Drosophila melanogaster: one gene and its partner. The protein of the gene in region 1 purifies or fractionates together with the protein of each later gene. This does not show direct contact. Each region holds a gene or a part of one and is shown in the gene's direction. Other genes may lie near its edges.

Region 1 (8,657 bases):
GGCTTAAAATTCAGATCTGTGCATAAGTGTCCCATCCGGTGCTTAAGTCTCAAGACTCAAGTCACTTGGTCCACTTGGTGAACGTGGTGCACTTCATCTAACCCACTAATCCAGATGAATAGCTTTCTACTTTCTTGACTCTCTGAACCCTGTGAATCCTACTAAAACGCTGTCCATGATGGTTTCAGTATCATTTATTTTCCTCACACTTGCAGATGCCCCACTACCACGAGGGCATGGACACGGACGTGATCCTTATCAAGTCGGAGACAATTAGCGACAACGAGCAGACGGACAATGGCATGGACTGCCTGGACGAGGACGATGACGACGACTGCTTGAGCCACAAGGCGCCGGAGGTGTGCCTCGAGGAGGAGGACGACGTGCTCTTTCCAACGGACGTGCGCCAGCTGCAGCAGGTGGGATCGTCCGGAGCCGCCGGCGGTGGTGTCTCCGGAGGCTCCCTTCCCGGAAACATGTCTAGCAACGGGATTACCGAAACCAGTCGCCGCGCCGCAAGCTCGCCCGTGTGCTCCACGAAGACCTCGATTAGTTCCAGCGGGAGCTACGCATCAGCGCCCAAACCGGACATCACTATCCAGACCGTGGGCCACATACGCGTGGGCAGCTTTGCCAACATCAACAAGACGCTGCAGAACGGCGGCTCCGGCACAGGAGCTGTCCTATCAGCGGCCAGCAATGGCGGCTCCAGTGCCAGTGGAGTGCTGCCGCTCACAGCGGAGCAAGTGCAGCAGCACACGCTGCTGAACGGCCTAGGATTGTCCGCCGTGAATCCGGCTCAGTCTCTGCAGGCGGCCATCAATGCCGCCTATGGGTCCGCCGCTCCATCTTCATCGGTCGCCATTAGCAGCCGCCGCACCCCTCCCACTCTGCAGTTGCCACGCCTTCAGCGCGGAAACATCAACAATAGCCACCACACTGCCGGCAGCACAAGCAATTCCGCGGTGGCCTCCAATGGAGTGCAACTGTTGCTCAACGGCGGCCACCACGCACAGATGACGCACAACCATTTGGCGCGGGACAAGACAGGAGGCGTGGCCATCGGGGCGGCGGGCAGTTTCAACGGGTACAACGGACTGGCAGTGGCGGGCACAGTGTGCAGCGCCTTGAACAGCAGCGGATCCGGAGCCGGAAGCGGCGGGAGCAGTGCCAACAACAGCGGCGTGGGCCTGGGGATCGGCGGGGCACACACGTCGGGCAGCGGAGGAAGTGGCAGCGGTGGGACGAGGAGCCAGCACCAGGAGCTGATGAATTCGCTGAGGATCGAGGAGAGCAAGCGGAAAATCGACCTGATCAACGCCCAAATCGAATACTGGCAGACGCTCACCCGCAAGCTGAACAGTCAGGCGAATCACATGCCCAATCCTGCGTGCCCGTGCCACTTCCCTGGAGCCAGTGTGCTCTCGCCCGTCGCCGTGACCGCCGCTAGTGCCTCATCGTCCGCTTCCGCCAATGTGTTGCAGACGCAGGCCAGCACCAGCTAGTCCGCAGCCAAGGGGCGGTTCGAACTAGTCGGGGGTCCTGCGGGCGAAAGCGAAAGCGACAGCGACATCATCTCGATAGTGGACATAGATGATGGGCGGTCTAGGGAGGACGAGCAGTCGGAGGACGATGGCGAGAACCGTGACCAGGCCATAACGGACCTGACGCTACCCGACGAAGACGAGGAAGACGATGTAGACGAAGATGACTCACAGGATGCCTTGGTCAGGGATGTTGGCGTGGTGGGCGGCCTGTCGTCGCCAGATACACCGCCCCACTCCTCTCCGCCGCCAGCGAAGCGCTCGAAGCGCCAGGAAGTCACCTCCGAGCTCCTGAGGCAGCTGGCCCTGCAGCAGAATCAGGATCCCCAGGAGGGGTGCTAGTATTTTGTCTAGTTTGCTAATTTTATACTTGCTACCATGGATTGACGCAACCACTTTGTAACATTAATTTTACCATATATATTTATTTACGCCCAGTTTGAGTGCCAAAACAGAAACCAAGATTGGGGCCTTGCCATCGAAAATGCTTGCCAAAGGACCTGCTGAAATAACCGGTCATAACCACTCGCGACCCACTATTTATTTGCCAGCCTAACTGAAACATAGCGATTCATCTCATTTTAAAATGTCTTGCGTCGCCTATTTTTTTATTGCCTTTTTTTTTCTATACATGTAACGTGTTTATTTTTAAGTTTTCCTACGAGCTGCTACCAAAAAGAATAAGAAGAAGAAGGTGACTATCTTGAATGTACATTTACTTTACAAAACTAGACCTTACTTACTTACTTAATTAGAGATCGAGCAGCTAAGAACGCATGAAAATGAAATGTACAAATGTGGTTCCTAATCTAGTCCCTAAAGTCAAAAGTGAAGAACGAAAGAGCTACAGAAAAGAAATCGAAATTGTTACGCCTAGCCGAGAACTTGTGTATTATTTTTTTATATCGCTTAGATTGTTCCCCCGAGGAAAGCATTGAAGGAACTGTAGCTAATTTATGTACTTAATGAACCAGTGAAACCAAACCAATGATTTGAAATGGTGTAAAGAGAAGAAACTTGCTAGTCGCCGCTGCATAACTGTGTAAATGTGGCACACAAACCATTTAGTTAGTGTTAGTGCTACTGTACGTGTAAAATACAATTAATTGCCTATCCAGACCCAGTAACCACAATTTACAAGGAAGCACACACCAAACGAAACTGAAAACCAAGAAAACAAAACTATTTATACAATTTTGTAAACAAGAACTTATTAATAAAACAATGAATTTACTTTGTGGCCCAGCCTGTTGACTTTTGGATAGTAAAATTTCGTTTAAGGCTTAACATTTTGGCACTTACGCTCATTTTGCTCGCTTAAGCTGCTCTTCATTTGGCGCCAAACGAATTGGCGTTGCCCAACACTGACCAGCCAGCACAAAGCGCTACCAGACTGCGCAACCGACTGCTCATCTGGGAACTGGTTCGCACATATGGGCGCCCGCGAACCAGTTATTCGTTACTCATCAGTTCCAGTTCGGTTCAGCAAAAATTGTGCAAATAAATTGCGGAAAGTCGGATTGTTTATGTGGGAATCGGCAGCGAAAAGCGACTCGGCGGCAGTAACAACTAGAGTGAATGAAGTGAGCACTGCCACTCCCACGCACACTACTGTGCAGTCTGTGTGCGCCAACTGTGAATTGCGAAGTGCGAATTCCGTACTTCGGATTGCGGATTCCCCCCCTCCCTTAAAGCACTTGGAAAACCAACACCTGGCGCACGTACACGCACACGCACACTTGTCCTGCTAGCGAAAGAAAAATCCCTGTCAGCTGGTGCAGCGATTCCCGAAGCAACTCCGAGGAGCAGGACACCGTGGAAAGAGGCGACAACTGAAGCTGGTCTTCAGTGAACACAGAGTCCAGTGAGCAAGTGTGAGCAAGTAAACAAGTGATACAGCGCTTGGCAGGAGTCACAGATTATCTGAGCGACCACCTGGATGCCCGGCTTTCACCTCAATGAGATGGGTGAAATGGTCCTGGACGCCATCGACGACATCGGCGTGGTCGATGTGTACGACTTGGCCTCCGACATTGGCAAGGAGTACGAGCGGATCATGGACCGCTTCGGCACGGACGCCGTCAGCGGGCTGATGCCCAAGATCATCAACACCCTGGAGCTGTTGGAGGCGCTGGCCACGAAGAACGAGCGCGAGAACGCCACCATCCAGGAGCTGCGCGATAAGGTGGCCCAGCTGGAGAGCGAGAAGCTGGAGAAGGCCGAGTTCCGGCGGCGGTTCGACAAGGAGCTGGAGCTGATCGAAGAGCAGTGGCGCAGCGAGACCAACGAGCTGGTCGATCTCGTCTCCTCGCTGCAAGACGAGAACAAGCGGCTGGTAAAGCAGACTCAGGATCTGCAGTCATCGTCCGCCCAGAGCTCCGGCCTGGGGGCCAGTCTCACCGAGAGCATTATCAGCATGACCAACCACGAGCTGCACAGCGCTCTTTCGGATACTCAAGTGCTGCAACGGCTGAAGGAGCAGATATACAAGCAGCGCGACGAGTTGAAGCACCGCGAGCGTGAGCTGCAGGACAAGTACAGCGAGCTGGAGCACGTGAGTGTCCTTAAGGATAGGTGCTCATATTCCCAGCTAACGTATTCTTAACTAACCCTTCCCAGCTCAATATCCAGGCGGAGCGTCTGAAGGCATCAGAGCGAGATACCCGGCGCCGCCACAAGCTGATGCAGGCCCAAGTGAAGACGCTGTGCGAGGAGCGCGCCGACTTTCTTGCCCAGCTGCAGGACCAGAGCCGGGAGATCAACCAACTGCGCAAGCGATTGGGCCTGGCCGAAAAGGAGAATGAGGATTTGGTGGCCTCGTACGACGATGGCCAGAACGATCCCAACCGGCCGCGGTACACCACGCGCGAGCTGAAAGAGTTGATTAGCGAGCGCGATGAGCTGCTGACCACCATCGACACCCTCAACGAGCAGCTGGCGGAGCTGAAGCCACCAAGCCAGGCGAAGGGCAAGCGGCAGCGTCACTTCTCCAGCTCCGACGATAGCGATGAGGACGACGATGGTCACGTGGCGGACAACGATGATGACGACGACGAGGAGGAGGCGGCTGCCGAGGCGAACGAGCTGGAGCCACCAGCGGCCGGAGAAACGTGAGTGAGCCCATTTCTGTTACATCCTTTAGTTTTGTGGTCCCTCACCAGAGAAAACAAGAATTTATGAACGACCGCTTGAGTCAAAGTGATTAACGAACAAGCATTTTCAGCCTGAGTCATTCTTTTGTTGTTGCTCAGTGCTAACAATATTCAAATAGACCCTATGATGCAAACGTTTAATTGGCAGGTGATTCAGAGCTTAAACGTATATATTTGCGTGTTTTTTCGCAAGGTCAGCAGGTAACTGGTAAATGGCACAATTGGGAGTCAAACAAATCGTTGGATTCGGATCTATATGTTGATTATTTTTGAGTTTTTATAGCTAATTACTATCCCTAGTTATGATTACTTAAGTACATACATAGTGCATCGCTTTTCAGGCCACCTGGACACGATGCGCCCGTGCAGGGCCCTTTGCCCTACGAGCCGGACGATGCGCCCTGGAAGAAGAGCTCCGAGTCGGGAATACGCAAATTGTAAGTGGCATTCAATCGGCGTAGAGCTCTCGATTCACTTTCTGCATTGTAGCTTCCGGAAGCTGTTCTCGGACCCGTCGGACGGCAGCAACACGTTCCCGAAACGTTCCTTGGCCACGCTCTCCAAGATGGCGCTGTCGGCCACGCCCGGTTCCGTTTCCGCCTCCGCAGCGGCGAAGTAAGCGCCCCTTAAAGCATCCGAGTTGGCGTGCATTTCACTTTTCGTTTGTTTTCTGTTTTTCCGTTTCCGTTCCATTCCGTTCCGTTCCGTTTGCACTGCCCCCCGCACCCCTGCATCTTGCATCCTAATTTATTATTTATTTTTTACTTTTACGTCTTACGATTACGTTTACATTTAGTTTAGGCAACAGCCTGTATCTGACCCTGTCCCTCGCCATTCACCTGCTCCGCCTGAGCTGTACATACATAGTTTACACACTCGATTGCTGTGCCCTCATAATTCTAAGTTGTTATGCAATTTTGTTTACGTAATACGCGTTTTATTCGTAACTCGTAACCCCTAACTGTACTGGATATATTTAATACGAATCCACTTTGTATTTTTCGTACCTTCGATTTATTCTAACTTGATTAACGACTACCACATAAGACTCCAAACATACCACAGCCCCCACATGTGCACGTGTTTCAAAAATCAAGATCGAGAACGAAAACGAGAACGAAAACGATATCGAGATTGTGCAAAGATTGCCGAGTGAGTTTTTAATGAATTTAGACAAAAACAAGCTTAGAAAGACAAACAGTCCTCCCAGGTGCAGATGCAGAGAAAACGATTCGGTGAGATGAGGAGACGAGACGAGGAGGACTCTGGTTCTGGGACCCCAGATTTTAGAAAGTCTAGGTAGAACGGGAAGATTTTGCTTCAATTATCCGTAGTGTAACTGTCCCTAAGACCCCTGCATCTATCTAGATCTTCGGCTATCGCCAGCCCGTATGAGTATTTTAGCACTCTCATAGCAGTTGCCCCAAGCGGCCTTATAAATATATTACAAATTTATCAAAATACGCAAACCTTAGAGCGAAAGAAACCTAAAAGTATATATAATTGATATATAATTAGCAAACGTTACAACCTTAGCGCATTGTTTGTTGACTTGAATTGAACTAACTAACGAAACCAATCTCAGCATAGTAGATTCCATTGATAGCATTCGATTGCACAAAGATGCCAAAAAGCGAAAATCTCCGCGTTACCCCATTGCCGGCCGGCCAGTCTAAATCAAGGAATGTTTTAGCCAAGAGTTTTACCATAGACTTAGCCACTGACCAGCTCGAATTGTTGTTACCGCACCCAGACGACTTCGCCCAGAGCCCCCACTCCACTTGAAGCCCAGTGATTTCGAGGAGATCTCAGTCCGATCCTCGTTCATAGCTAGTATCCATGAGAGAGACGCCCATGTAGTGCAATTACCAATATGGTGTCACTTCCCGCTCCCCTTCCACTCACAAGCACAAAGCGAGGAAACTCCGTTTACATATCAGCTCCATCGCTATCGTCGATGCGAACGTGCCAAAGACTAATGGTCAGACCCTATGCCCCCATTATTCGCAACTCCCCCCCACTACCCACACCACGCACCGAACACCCAGCCCACAACACCCGACTTACCAATCTCAATTAACCCATCTCGTTTCGAACACAACAAAGAGTGGCAACTGAACTTTTATAAAATTGAACACGAGCGCGCAATGGCATCGATATGAAAAAGTGGACTAACGTTGAGTGGGTGAAGACCACGAAAAGAAGATGGAGAGAAATTGAGTATTTGGTGAATTAATGTTAACTAAATTTATATACACATATACACATGCATTATACATAATATACTTTACTATATACTATGTAATACCGTATTATATGGAACTATGACTAACCAAAAAGGCAACAAGGCAACAATTATACAAAATTCAAAGCGTACCAGGGTGGCACTTGGACCATGGACTGCAGGAGCGACCAGAGCGATAGCGAGCATCGGATCGGATCGGATTGGATCGCATCATGGTGAACCGCATCAGAGGGCGACGCCTCCGCATCCGGGTATCATCTGCTCACCCCTGTACGTACATCAAATTTATGAGTGGCTTCCTTTGAGCGACCACCAAAATAAACTTATGAACCGTGGAGTGGATTTCGAATGAATGATTTGGGTTGGCGGCAAGTGGAGCACTCGCTGTGCGGAACCTAAGGTGTTTATTTCATTATTTAACATTACTTATAAGTTCGTTTTTAATTTGGCTTATTTTCGATTGCTTTCAAAATTATTCCCAAGGTATTGTAAGAAACAAGTCGAGATCGGCAGAGAGTTCAAGATCATTGTCATCATCGTGTGTTTCATCGTCAGAAACGAAGGATGTTTGAAGACCATCTTCAAGTTCAAGTATTTTCACGTATCATAACATTTCATATCAAGCCTTAAAGGTTAGTAGCGACTTCAATTTGCCCATAAACACATTTCGGGGTGCTCTAGTCATTGGAGTTCTGGCTTCCATGTCGCCCGAGCCTGTAGCCTCTAGCTACTGATATCCTTTGCACAAGGACAGTCGGTGGGGTTGTATTTCGATCGTGCTTTTGGTACTAAGAAAAGGGGGTGGATGTCGAACAAGGCTGATTGCGTAACACCTGGCAGTGCATCCCATGGGATTCCCCCGCGCCCGACCACCCATCGCGGTGGTTGGAGCTTTCTCGCCACGAGCTTTTCGACTGAGCTTTACCCCGGGGCTCTGGGCCACCCACTTACCAAGCCACGAAGCCATCTTGCAGCATCGTCAACCCTGCGCATCCGCGTCCGCATCCTGCATCTCGTGCGGTGCGTAGCAGCATCTCGTGCCCCGTCCTCGAGTCCTTGCTGGGTCGCTTCTGCCGTTTACTGGGCGCCTGATCTCCATGCCGGGTTTGAGGCGTATCTAGGGCGTGGTGGTTGTTCCGGCTGGACGACCTTGAGCACCGCCCCTCATCTGCGATGGCGTTTTAATTGCCCAGCAACAGGCGATTTGTTGGTGGTGGTGGTGATGTGGTGGCGGCTCTTCGTTCGGGGATGCGTTCTGGCCATTCTCAACGGGATTTTCACGCAGTTCCAATTAAGCAATTAAAAATCTGCCACCGGACTTGGCGGCGAGACGTGGGCGGGTTCATGGTGGCCGGAGACGGCGTTGTCAGCTTTTTAATTAAGAAGATGTTAGCGTAATAGGATAGAAGGATATGCGCTGCGAAAATCGTAGGTCGAAATGTGCGCAGCTAATGAAGAAGGCCCCTGTGTTTTTGTGGTCACTGGGAGTGGGCCCCACAATTTCCACTAATTGCCCTGGCCTGGCATGGGCTGGCCAGAAAGAAAAGAATTAAGAGACGGAGCGGAGATAAAAGCGCTTAATGAGTTTCTGCAGAGGCCCCGTGCGACGATTTCAGGGGCCTTAGTCAGTCGATTTTTGAACAGGCTCGCAGCAGCCGCCGCAGAAGCTCCGTTGGATTTGGATTTGGATGCAAGGGGCAGCCCCACTCGAAACTC
Region 2 (6,024 bases), on another chromosome or scaffold:
GCCAAGTCCTTGGGCGTTTCTTTCGGCCCCGCACAGAAATAACTTAATAGCCGCAGCATATGGAAAAATTTGTCAAGCGCAGGAAAATGCGCTGGGAGCCTGTGGTTTCGGGATTGGGTGTGCCAACTGGAGTGCTCACCCTTCCCTCCTGACTACTTCATCGCCAGGCGAAGGAAGGAAAAGGCGAGGGGTCAGCAGGCACTGCTCTCATAAATATTTAATGCGCCCACTTGACTGCTGCTGCGTGGATTAATCCGTGGGGTGGACCCTGTTTTCACTTTGCACTACCGACAGCTGGACACTTGGCGGCGACAGCCTGTTTGCCTTTGTCATTAGGTTGCCATATGTGGCTCTGTAAACACGTAGAAAGGGGCGGGGGCGCCATTCCGCCCACATTGGGGCATAATAAATCTATTTAGAGCGAACTGTGCTGGGGCAAAAATCTGTTAGTGGCGCTGCCTGGAAGTATGCTACAAAAATGTGCGATGGAGAGCTTATCGCTCTCGAAAACATCTAATCCCTAGAGATTTGTTTCTTACCCAAAGGCAAATTTTGTATCTATAAACTTACATTAGAACATTGAAAGATTTGAAAGTATGCAGCGAAATGTTAAAATTTAAATTTGAACTTGTCCACCCCAATCACATGCTTCCTTCCCCTTTTCTGGGCACCTGCCCTTTACATTTTGATGTGGTTGCCGCTGGCTTTTGGCAACTGACATCTGACCAAAGCCCCGCTACTTTTGGCCTTAGTTGCTGCTGCGGTTTGGAGCGCTAACGAACGTGTTGCACACACGGACGCGTATTTATACTCGGAATGGATCGGAAAGGCTTAACAGCTTGAGCTTGGCTGCCTACTTAAGGGCTCAATGCTGCGGTGAAAGTGGGGGCGGCAATGGGTGGCACTTGCCACCCAAGATGTGGTGAATGGCGATGGCGATGGCGTAAGGCGATGCTAGGCGAACGGCGCCAGGCGAGCAGAAAGTGCAGGAGGAGCGGAAGGGGCGCAAAAGGGGCTGAAAACTTTCGCCTAACTCGCTTTCTAAAAATAGAAATGAAATCGCGCGCACGTACGCACACTTTAACAGCATGGAGGCCCCCCCACTCACATACACGCACACACGTACTCACACACACTCACAAAGGAGGCTGGCCGCCATTTTGTGTGGCGAACGCCTACGCGATGTTTAACTGCGCTGTAGGTTCCCGTGTGCTTGTGTTGGTGAGCGCTGAGCTACATATATGAACAGTGTAACTGCACTGGGAGAAATCGTGGAGCTGTATATACAGAATACCATATGTTTCTTTAGAGTTGTTGAAAGAAAAGGCAACATTGTGCTTTAAGCCGCAGCTTGATATATGTATATATGTTTCGTGAATATTTTGGCAGAAATTTGATTATTATATATATATGTATATAATTTAATATAATTTATATAATCATTTTTTTGTTGAAACTTTAATTTAAAGACTTAAAACTTATTTTATTTGATAGTTTTCTTTCAAGAGTGCATATAGCTACCCACTTACTCAGAAAAGTCATTGGTAGTTTTCTCGCTGTGCAGGCACAGTAATGATTCACTAAGCCAGTGCAAGAAAAACAACCGCAGGATGGAAATTTATAAATCGCTCATGGAGCGCGGCATTCAAAAGGACGACAGCTGTCGTCCTCGCGCAAAACACCTACGCAATTTCCTGGCAGAAACAGCGAACGACGAGCGGTAAATGGGAAATGGAATATGCTAAACGAGATGAGCTCCGAGATGGAGCCACTCGAGCGGATGCCCGACCCTCAAAAGCCAGCAGCCAGCCAACCCACGCAGACGACGAGCTGGAGGCTGGAGGCACAGCCTTCTCGGGCCGGGCATTTTTCAAAAACTCGCATTTTCCCAGTGACCTTTAGCCTTAAGAGTGGGCGTGGGCGGAGCTGCTGCTCCACCTGTACTGAACTTTGGCACTTACCTGTGGCCGGCTGTTGCTGCTGCTGCTGCTGCTGGAGCTGCTGCTGCTGGTGATGCTGCTGCTGCTGTTGCTGCTGCTGCTGGAGCTTGTGGTTGGCGCTGGTGGAGAGCTCCGTGTCTTGGGCGAGCACGGAGGTGGGCACCGCCCGGATTGGAAGGCTGAGGCACAGGATCAGTGCCAGGACTACCAGCAGGCTGCTGCCGGGCAACGAGATGCGTGGCATGTTTACGGCAAACGGCACTTGACTTGGCTCTAGCTGGTGGTGTCCCAAATAGGATTCGGATCTGGCTGGAGGTGGGAGGTCGACTTCGACTCCTGGCCTGGTTTCTGCCGGTGTTTGGATCCCAGTGGTCTGCGCACTTCGACTGTTCTGAATGAACTGACGTCCCAGCGACGCAGTGCAACAGTTTTTAACGTATTGCCCCGATTCCGTGCCGTTGGCCGTTGGCTTGCAGACCACATTAAAGTGCCACCCAACTCCTCCACTCGCCGACCGAATCCCGTCCGGTCTGCACACAACCTACGTCACTCTCATTGATAAAGACCGCGGAGCTCGGAGGAGCCTGCTTACGTACTTGCCTGGCGAGGCAGCGAGCCAATCCTCTACTGCGCCGGCGCCGGATCTGCAAAGAGCTGCGTTACTGCCAGGTCGCATCGGTGGGCCTCTGTGGTGCTGGTTATGCCGCTATGACACTGGTTGTTATGTAAATTCACTATATTAGTACTCAATGCACTTGACTAGTGTAAAATGTATAATAAATATGGATGGCTTATGTTATATTTGTATATTATATATTTATATTATATTTATTTGAAAGCTAATTCTGGCTAATTGCCTCACTTGCAAATATTTAAAAATTTATATTGCGCACAATGATCCGATCATTTTGCTATATCAGCAATTGAACATACATATGGACATGCACTACCGCTTGCTACCCGATTCTCAGGAGCTCACCTTCAGTTTAGCGCGGAACTCTGGGCAACGATCACCTCTACAAGCGAAAGATGAAAGCGATTAGTTTGGTATTCATCCTCGCCCCCTCGCTGATAGCGCTCTCCCATGGAAGCCCAGTTGATCGGGAGGCGATCGGAGGTCCGATGGCGATGCGGGGATTCAACAACAGTCTGGGCACCTTCGTGGAGTACAGCGGTCAGGCATCGCTAGCCTCCAGAGATTGGAAGTTATGTGCCAGCTTCAACTTGGAGTCGCTTTATACGGCAATACGTGCGTTCAATGGTGTCTACAAGGCTTTGGTCGATGTGTGCGATATCCAAAGGAATCTTTGTCCAGAAATTCTGGACATTACCAAGTTTGCGGATAGTATTCTTCACGATGGACTAATTGACTTGGAGAAAGCGTTGGACTTTAGGGCCGGACGACTTTCTTTGGGAGATGACGACGTGTCCATCGAGCTTGGGATGGGAACATCCTGCATTGACAGCTCCATTAATGTTATAAATGTGATACTTCAAGAACCCTTTCACGAGGCTTATGAACCTGAAAACCTGATTATGATGAAGCCGTATCTATACCTTATGGGCAGCAGACTAAAAAGTGCCCAGAATGCCATAACTGAAGCCATAATCTCTGCCCACCACGGAAAGCTTAGTCCTCTTGTCCTTTCAATGAAACAGCTGCAAGCGAAGATGCCGCCAATTCTGGGAGATCTGGATGGCCGATATACAATCCGGAATATTTACCTTCTCGCCTCCGTAGTTCCTCGGCAGCGGGGCAACCACGTGGAGTTCCAAATCACAGTGCCCTTGCTCGATGCGGAGAAGTTTAATATCTACCGATTGACGCCCATTCCACGGTTAAACAATGGCGTAATCCAACTGGTGGACACCGAAACACCTTATCTGGGCATCAACGATCATATGGACAGGTATTTTCCGCTTCAGAGCTTGGACGACTGCATCAAGTTGGGCGAAGAAAGGTTCATCTGCAGGCGCAACCGCATTATCTACGGGACTGGGGATGACAGTTTTGCCTGCTCCCTGGCGGCCATACGGAACCAGTCTTCCGAAGTCTGCACCTTGCGTCAAGTGAAGGAGAAGAGTCTGTGGACAGAGATGGTGGCACCAAACTCCTGGATGGTGGCCCTTACCAATGAGCTAACTTTAATAGGAGTGTGCTCCGGTGAGAGGCAGGAGCTCCAATTGAATGGCAGTGGAATCCTGAGCATTCAAAGCGACTGTGCCGTGCGCAGTCCAGCTGTCGCCCTCCGTGGAGAAGTCCGGGAAAGAGTTCCTTCGAAAGCAGGTTACGCAACGCTGCAGAAGGAACCAAAATCTTCCCAGGAATCCGTGACCTTGGAATCATTTAATCAACTCCTGGCGATCGTGGGCAAACTGGAGCTGAATCAGAAAAAGCTGGAAGCAGTCCGAGATTACCCAATGGTAGTCGTAGTAGTAGTAGCTGTGTGCGCAGCCATATTGCTGGTCGCCTTACTTGTTTCGGCGACCTGGTTATATCGCACCCATCGGAGCAAACAACTTGCGCAGGCTCAAAATCTTGTCAACGAAGTCAATGGTCTCCAGGATCCACAGAATCGCACCACAACCTGCAATCTTCCGCTGCTGGAAAAACATGAAATCTAAAAAAAAAAGAAGATGCGGCTGCGTGGTGCATCTGTTAAGTTCCGATGAAATTTCAAAGAGAGCTATGATTTTTTAACAATTTTTTGTGTCGATTATAATACAGTTTTATTTGTTTGGTTTGATTGCAATAAATATTAGTTACTCTCATCATGTACACGTTGTAAGTCTCAGGGCTTCGGTAAGGGTTCCTTATTCGCACTTAGAAATTTAGAAAATTGGGATCGGGGGCGTGGCATGCTCGGGATGGCCATGTGATCTGGGACTACGTTCGACTATTTTCTTCAAATCCGGTCTCTGCACCGAGTGCACTATGTTACAATTGCAGCCAGCGCTTCGTTTACAATAAGAACTATACTATTTCAGCTAATACAAGGAAAACAATGCCAATTACAAACTATTACACCGCTCGCAGCGGCGCATTGCACTTTGTGTCTCTGATTTTTGTATCAGTGGCCGTTCATGAAATAAAGCTTGATGCGGAAAGGCGGAAACAAGAAGAGCATGCGGCGGTTGTCCGGTTTATCCTACTTGGCGTCGTCAAGCACCTGCACGATGAGCCTTGAAATCAGTGCCGTAACTTCGGCCGCATTTGGTATGAGGAAGCGGTCCATGTCGGTTATGAGCAGACCATCGCCATCGGGGAATCCGTACTTGAACGTGATGAGGTCGCGGTGTCGCTTCTTGGCCGTGATCTTCACGATGCTCGCCAGCGGGCGACGCACCATTATCTGCGCCTGGCCGCGTCCCAGTTCCCGCAGCACCACCAGTTGCCCGGGCGTGATGATCAAATGACTGTCGTACATGTAGCCGCTCATGTGCACCTCCTGGCACTTGAAGGCGTTGATGATGTCCGCCGTCTTGAAGTACTGGTTCAGATTCACGATCTCCTTGCCGTCGCTGGTCAGCGGTGCGTCATCCCGCTCCCCCGCCCCGTCCAAGGCATCCTCGTTCTCATCGTCGATGCTGAACACAGGTGCCACATTGCGGTAGCGCTTGCCGTTCCGCTCCTTTGCACTAACATGGCGCTCTTGCACCGGCGCCGATGGCACACCATTGGTGCCGCTAGCCGTGGCTCCGCCATTTGCACTGGGATTCACGATAATGTCTAGTAGTTTGCCCTTGACCTCGGCAGACTTTGACTTCATGGCGGCGGAGAACTTGCTGAATAGGTCTGTAGAGGATGGCGTCGAAGTCTTAAGCGGCGCTGATTTAGTCTGCAGGAGCGGAATTGAGAAATTATAAGTATACTAATTCGATTCAAAGTATTGTACATTTCCTGAGTTATCGAAGTCTTACCTGCTGCGCGTTGTGCTGCTGGCAGACGAGGCACTTGCGCGCATTGTGATCCTCCAGGCAATCGGCCATTTGATCGCCGAAGTAGTCGTGGATGGAGGCGTAGCCACCGGTCAGCAGCGACACGTAGTGGGTGTTCTTCTGCAGGAACGAGGCCACCACCATG

The links.
Region 2: the proteins of Rilpl (region 1) and Iris purify together in Drosophila melanogaster (affinity purification with mass spectrometry, with the first as the bait; one large-scale study listed by BioGRID). This does not show direct contact.

Annotation. Positions count from the first base shown.
Region 1 is NC_004354.4:1,390,061-1,398,717, forward strand, and holds Rilpl (Rab interacting lysosomal protein like), read left to right. Parts: upstream 1-2,993; 5' UTR 2,994-3,483; coding exon 3,484-4,098; intron 4,099-4,163; coding exon 4,164-4,654; intron 4,655-5,022; coding exon of another isoform or gene 5,023-5,037; coding exon 5,038-5,133; intron 5,134-5,185; coding exon 5,186-5,311; coding exon of another isoform or gene 5,312-5,315; exon of another isoform or gene 5,316-5,492; coding exon 5,493-5,625; 3' UTR 5,626-7,277; downstream 7,278-8,657. Other genes in the region: CG32813 (uncharacterized protein), read left to right, coding at 189-1,505. UniProt on the Drosophila melanogaster protein: May have a role in lysosome distribution by interacting with Arl8.
Region 2 is NT_033779.5:1,131,019-1,137,042, reverse strand, and holds Iris (iris), read left to right. Parts: upstream 1-2,944; 5' UTR 2,945-2,969; coding exon 2,970-4,565; 3' UTR 4,566-4,711; downstream 4,712-6,024. Other genes in the region: CG4577 (uncharacterized protein), read right to left, coding at 1,962-2,184; TBC1D23 (TBC1 domain family member 23), read right to left, coding at 5,090-5,779, 5,862-6,024.